2 linked regions of the Bombyx mori genome follow. The protein of the gene in region 2 interacts with the protein of the main gene of each other region in a pairwise test. Links are inferred from orthologs where the notes say so. Each region holds a gene or a part of one and is shown on either strand. Other genes may lie near its edges.

What was found.
Region 1: the proteins of KH domain-containing, RNA-binding, signal transduction-associated protein 3 (region 2) and proteasome inhibitor PI31 subunit interact in a two-hybrid assay, tested with the Homo sapiens proteins (2 studies listed by BioGRID and IntAct). The link is inferred for Bombyx mori from reciprocal best matches to the Homo sapiens genes KHDRBS3 and PSMF1.

Annotation. Positions count from the first base shown.
Region 1 is NC_085111.1:15,245,427-15,248,333, reverse strand, and holds part of proteasome inhibitor PI31 subunit, read right to left. Parts: intron 2,852-2,907; coding exon 2,668-2,851; intron 1,472-2,667; coding exon 1,381-1,471; intron 573-1,380; coding exon 432-572; intron 1-431. UniProt on the Homo sapiens protein: Plays an important role in control of proteasome function. Inhibits the hydrolysis of protein and peptide substrates by the 20S proteasome. Also inhibits the activation of the proteasome by the proteasome regulatory proteins PA700 and PA28.
Region 2 is NC_085126.1:9,712,564-9,716,842, forward strand, and holds the start of KH domain-containing, RNA-binding, signal transduction-associated protein 3, read right to left. Parts: upstream 2,840-4,279; 5' UTR 2,678-2,839; coding exon 2,470-2,677; intron 2,227-2,469; coding exon 2,105-2,226; intron 1,543-2,104; coding exon 1,433-1,542; intron 324-1,432; coding exon 118-323; intron 1-117. Other genes in the region: dynein light chain roadblock-type 1, read right to left, coding at 3,777-3,923. UniProt on the Homo sapiens protein: RNA-binding protein that plays a role in the regulation of alternative splicing and influences mRNA splice site selection and exon inclusion. Binds preferentially to the 5'-[AU]UAAA-3' motif in vitro.

The sequences.
Region 1 (2,907 bases), on a different chromosome or scaffold from region 2:
GGACGTCTTATCCTTTAGGCCACGACGACTTAATACGATTTGCATAAGAGGTGCTTACTAAAAGTAGGTGTAGTTATTGTAAGCCCGCTTTAGTGGCTTACACAATCCTGTCTATTTCTGTCTCCAAGTATTCATATCTCAGAATAATGAAGGTGATCGTTCTTAGAATACAAACGAATACGGTCTGAGGGAACGGACACCAGTAACACATACGATCTGGTCTCTATGGGCTCATGGTTGTTCAACTTTTGTAAAAGGTATCTGTGTCAACCAGAAGCGTATGAAATAAATCAAAGAAGGTCTTCAAGAGTACTTATTGTTTACAGCCTTTTGATGGTAAACTGACATAGTCATGTGAGCGGATTTAGATGCTCATCTGTTCATCTTGTTGTTAATGAAAAATCTCAGATATGTAAGATTTTTACACAAACCTTGGCAATCCACCTGGAACACCCAGGCCTGGGTTCTCAATGTCTCGACGTGGAGCAAACGGGTTAAATATCATTCCACCCCCGAAAGGAGAGAACGGATCGAGATCTGAATGGCCAACGTTACGGCCAGGAGGAACTGCCCTGTATGAAAAATAAATTAATAATTGTCACTCATTTAACTAATATTTACTACTGGCAAACTCGTTTGTACACATCCCGGGGGCTGCATACCAAAAACAGATTAGATTAAAGCAGAGAAACCATAGTATTCTAAGTTTTTTTTAAATACAGAAGCAAATTCTGAAAATGCGTGATAAATGAACTTTTCCCCGATAATCGAAATGAGGCATTAAAGCTAAGACCGAATTTTGAAAATTCTTCCACGTTTTTACTAAAAAAGTTGCGATGATAAAGATCATATCGATATATACTTATGTATAAAATTTTATAAAAAAATATTGTTTCAGAGGTTATAAAGGAAAATCCGTAATTATATTACAATCAGGTCTTATTGTAATCGTATCCTATGTCTGTATTAACGAGTTTAAATTAATTTTTATCTGTAATGATGAAAACGTGGAACAGTTTCAAAACAGAGGTTGTATTACGACCCGATTAAAATCATTGGCAGCTGAATCTACGCAAGCATAGAGCAGAATATACAATACAGCAAACTATTAAGACGCGCACACAAGGTTCACGAACGAAGGAAGGTCATGGCTTAAGGAGAAATTGGCCCTTATGTTCCACCTGATGCGAAAATATTGCTCTAACACTATAAATCTTCAACAGCTGCCAAATGCAAGCTCGTGTATAAACCTATTTTATACCCATATTATGTCAAACAACTGTAATAGAAATATATTATTTCGAACTCATACTATCAACCTTAGATTAATTATGGGTACAAAAGATGAGCCACTAGCCCCCGAAACCGAGCATTCTTTACCATAGATCTTGTGAATCGGGATTAACTCCGGGTCTGGGTCTGGGAGGAATTCTCAGTGGATCATCTGAAGGCCTTCTAGTGTTTGAATGATCTGAAATTTTTAAACATTTGACCTTGAGATAAAAATACGGTCACGTAAATCAGCACATTGAATTTCAGGTGGACCATAAGCTGACTACAGTCAAACTTAAAAAAAACTAAATGAAATGGGAGTCGAAATGGTCGAATGCATACTGTAGCTGTTTATTGAATATTTAATAATTAAATAGCACATTTAATTTTACATGCTCCCTTATTTTATTGAGCAATTTTAACCACTTATTTTCTTATGTTATTTACAGAATTAAAATGGAAGATTGAGTTTAATTGAAGTCGTCATGAGCTTACGGAACAGACGCACACTGTACTCTCGGAGTATGTGACTCCAAGCCAGGATTCAGATCCTGTATGCAGCTACCAAGTATACTTAACAAGTGTTCACGAGCAATTTGTGTGAATAATATTGTGTAAATTTCCTCCAGCTTATATCTGTCGCAAAACAATCACGTATTTTGATTTAAAGAGTAGGATAGCTTTTGTATTAAAACTACAGACCGTTAACTAGAAAATCGTGTGTCACAGTGAGTGGCAGTACTGAAATTTATATATCTATAGGCACCGGTAGTCCTTTATCATCAACTGGGCCATAAGCACGTTCAAGCGTCTGTACAAGAAATGTTATAATCTTGAAACAGCAGTGACTGAATATCTTTTGCACGGCAAATAGGATATTCACATTTTTTTATTTTTACTCGACATAAATACATAATACTAAATTTGCTTGTGATGGTTGTTAAATTTTTGTATGGCAATATGAGAGGGGCGAGTATTATCTTTCTGCCTATTTCTGATACGCAGTAGTCTCTCAATTAAATGGTCAGTGGTTTTGCAACTTAAACCTTATGTTTTCATAGGAGTGGCAATGCTTTGTGATGTTTATAAGATGTGCCATGCAATCTAAAATAATCATGAATGTGTTTTCTACTTGACACAAAAAGTCTATTATGAAAGAAGAGTAAATTTAAAACAAAAACTTGAAACATTAATTTAATTTTTTCCTCTAAGTTCTACGTTTAGTATGTGCTAACCAAATTTTTAATATTATCTAAAAATCAAGTGTGTAGAATAGTGAAGGAGCTGTGATAAAATCAGCCAAATTGCACACTTTTTATATTCTAAAGTCTACTTAAAGCATGAGCAGTTATAAGGCTGAAAACTTATATTACAAAAATTTTGTTTAAAAATTACCTGATGCAGTCTGTGTTTCCGAAGTAGCTGTTGGCTTGTCTGTGATGCTATCAATTAGATCTCGCTTTATAACAAAAATGAAATCTTTGTAATTCGGCATCATGACGTCTATGGTTCCATTTGATTCTTTCAGTATTTCGTCTATCTTTACACCTATGTTCGTAACAGCAAGGTCTTCAGATCTCTGTACAGAGTTGAGTATTTTGTTAATCGTATGTGGAACTTCATAAGAGACAACAT
Region 2 (4,279 bases):
CAGTCATTTAGGTTACTAGGCTTTATGATATTCAATGAAATATTGTGTGTTAGTCTTCATTAGGATTCTTACTAAAGCTATTTCTTCAGAATAATAAAAAGGTTTTTTGACACTTACCTCTGACATCTATATCTCTCATCTGTGACATCCATACAGTTTCATTTGTATCCGGCACTAAGTATTTTTTGACTTCTGCAAGTGCATATGCAATTCGAGCGTGAGCCTCTGCTGGTGGTGCTATGGCCGATATCTCAACATGAAGATCGTCAGCTAGATGAGAGTACTTAGGGTCTAATGACTGGCGGAGTTCTTCTTCTTTTTGCCTAAATGAAAATCATACTGATTTGTTTATCTATATATGAGTCGACTATTATCAAAGCCGGCAATGTGACTTTTGGACAATTATTGGTAAATCAGAAAAACGAATTATTGACTTTGTATTCCATTGGCAGTCACAAAACTCTTCTGAACGACATCTTAGACAAATAACAGGTTAAGTATTAACCTTTATTTAATGCAGGTTTTGAACCGTATTCTTTGAAGGAGACGATTATATTCAAATCAATCTGTATTGAAATATCAATAAAAAATTTTTGTCCAAATGCACAGATTGCCACCTTTGATAATAGACGACTCATATATAAAAATGAATTGCTGTTCGTTAGTCTTGCTAAAACTCGAGAACGGCTGGACCGATTTTGCTAATTTTGATCTTAAATTATTTGTGGAAGTCCGGAGAAGGTTTAAAAGGTGTAAATAAATATGAAAATGCTCGAAATTAAATAAAAATAACAATTTTGTTTTTCCTTTGATGTGTCCCCCATCAGAGGGATTCCTTTTGCTTGTTTTATCGATTGAGGCACTACAAAGTCTGCCGGGTCAGCTAGTACTATTATAAATCTATTTACTACTGAATATAAGTCTGTTGTAGTTTTCATGAGTAATAGACATGTTTAACTATTTTTCTATGTAGTATCTCTTTTGAGTAGCAACAGTATGGCAGGAGAAGACCTTGTTGGCCTGTACACACTTGGCGACGACTGCCAGTCTGACCTGGAGGGATGTTACAGAGCAAGTGCAAGATAGGGTGAAGTGGAGACAACTTGTGAGGGTTGTAAGTACCAGCCGTACCTTAGGACAACAACAACAGTATCTCACTTGTTATTTGGTCATTGATTTATCTATACAAGTAGTTTTAAATAGTTCTGTTGTCCATTAAGCAACTATTTTTTCTTTTTTTTTTTCTGGCCAGAGTCTTAACCTCCTACACGGTCCCCATGCCTAGTATACGACAACTTTACCAGCACAAAGGTTTTGTCTTTTCTTGATTTGTTGCTGCAATTATAGATTTCCATTTATTTAAAATGGAAATTAAAAGATTATCTTGACTTAATGTGGTTACAGAGAATGCCAAATCTAAAGAGTTATGCACCTGTCTCTCATTGAGCCCCTGCCGAGTACAGCCATCTTGCACAGTGTGTCTTCTTGTAATTGCTTCATAGTGTTTCCTTTTGGACCTAATAGTTTTCCCACAAAGTTGAACTGCAATTGGAAAATGCATGTATTAAATTACAAATGCACTGTATTGTCAAATGAAGTGTCACTTTGATAAAGGTAACCTTTTTGATAATTTGGGGCTGGCTACATATGCAACAATAAGATTAATAAGCTGAAATGTTTAATCATTTTGCTTCAAATATAAATGTTTATTCACCAAATCATCACCAATACTTAGATTTTGACAGTGAACAAAAACTTGAAATTGATGAGATGATTTTTTTAGACTTGTACTCATATACTTAGACTTATTCTAAAAATAAACAAGAAAAAATTTCAGTTTATATTTTCGACCACAAGGAATGACACCAGTGTCTTAAGCTTTCCAAAGATCAATTTTAGGCAGCTCACATCCATTTATCATCATAAAAATATAAAAGATGTTATGCAACTCATTTGTTATTGGTATTTATATTATTGAGTGCAAGGCCTCCTGTTACACGAATATCTCTTAGATGAGAGTTGATTTGAAATAATAGTTTTGTTTTTGTAAGCTTGAGACAATTATTTGCAACGATATACTTATTATTAGATTCAATTTTCTTACTTTAGGATGTTCCTTAATTGGCACAAGAACTTTAACTGTGACTTTGGTTGGTTTGTCACGGAACACATCCACATATTTTGAGTCCTTGGTGATACGACCACTAGCCTGTACTTTTGTTACTTCTGTAACAATAATTTCAAAATATCAATACGGCGGCAAAGTTTTTTTTTTTCAATTTATTTCAAATGGTTTTGTCACATTGAGAGGTCAATGAACTGTTATTAGTAATTTTTATAGGGGATTTTTATTTGTTAAATGGAACATTTTCTTCTCAATACAATGATTTTTGTTGTCGAAATATTGAGGAGTGAAGAAGAGTTACGAAATATTCTTTTAAATAAGTAAGTAGTGAAGAATTAGCATACCTTGATCAATTAACTTCATAGATAGTGGAAATTTTGAATTATTGAGTTTGATCTTCTCGCTAAGTAGTTCACGCATGTATTCACCGGCTTTTTCATTTATTTTGATACCTTCTTCGCCATTTTGATCGAGTTCCTCTGGTTTACCTTGTGTGGTATTTCTTTTAAAATCGCCACTATTATACCCATTTTTGTCGTATTTATCTGCCATTTTGATTAAATCAAATTATGCCCTAAATATTACTTGATTTCCGTTTTTACATTAATGTAACACAATGTTTTCAATGTAAATTATTACGCGTACTGTGTAAAAGACGCGTTGTCTAATGTGTAGTATAATCTATGGAAGACGCCTCAATTTTTTTAATGTTCTGATAGATTTTTTTAAAGGATTTTATGACCTGGTAACTGAGACCTTTAAGTCATGTCTTATTTTAATCATATTTTTATGAAAAATGATATTATGGAGTGAAATGAAATGAAGATAATTAATTTGAGACGTTAATCAACTGAGATGAAATTAAATGAAATTAAATGAGATGATGTGGGATGAAATATAATCTCAGTAAAATGGTAGTCATTTACTAAGATTTTTTCAGTGGACTTTTGGAGGATCTCGAGAAGTTACGTCCAGCGGATTTGTTTCATTTACCCACATTTGTGCACTTTGACAGATATTAAACAGTTAATAAACCACCATTAATACACATTTAAACCCGAAGAAACACTAAATAGACAAAATAAAACAAATCACACAACTTCACTCCTCGCGTTCCCACCAAAAAGTCCAAAGAGTATCTTTTTTTTTAAAGGGATTTTATGACCATGATTTTATGAAAAGTCCACTGAAAAAGTCTCAGTAAATGACCATCATTTTACTGAGATTATGTTTCATCCCATATCATCTCATCTCATTTTGCTTAATCTCATCCCAGTTGATTAATGTCTCAAATTAATCATTTCCATTTCATTTCATTTCACTCCATATTATCATTTTTCATAAAAAATAAGATAGAAGAATAAGAATAAAAATAAGACATGACCTAAAGGTCTTAGTTACCAGGTCATAAAATCGCTTAAAAAATGCTTCTTAAAATGATCGTTAAATTGCGTTTCAACTTTCAGGTTTTTGTCAAATTTAATTTATTTGCTAATACGATCTAATCCTTATTCTGAGAATAGGCAAGTAAGATAAAGTAGGTAAGTCAATAGGTAATAGGTATTTTTATTTAGAAAATAAAGAAGTTACCTAAATTTTATGTTGTACAACAAAAAAAATAGTATTTATAACACTCGTGAATGTTTAAACATCATGAAATGAATTGCTTTTCAGAATTTTTCTTGATCTTTTGTCTCGCTTGCTGTAACACGATTATGTTGAAGGACGGATCCGGGACCACCATGATTTCTTTCTTTTTCGTATGCAAACGCATTACTAGTACTGCGTCGAAAGGATCCTGAAATAATGTCAAAGCTTTAACTTAGGTATTACGAAAATGTAGTATGTTTCATGTTTCCTATCTACTAGTAGCCACGAGAGGTTATGCTAGCTTCATCGAATGTGTAGGCGAGTTCAAGGAGCCAAAACGGCCGAAGTCTTCTTCTTTTCTTTAAAAAGTTGCTGTTCGTTAGTCTCGTTAAACTCGAGAACGGCTGGACCGATTTGGCTGATTTTGGTCTTGAATTATTTGTGGAAGTCCAGAGAAGTTTTAAAAGTTAATTAAATATGAAAATGTTCGGAATTAAATAAAGCCGTTGTAACTATACTTGAGATCTTAGAACTTATATCTCAAGGTGGGTGGTGGCATTTACG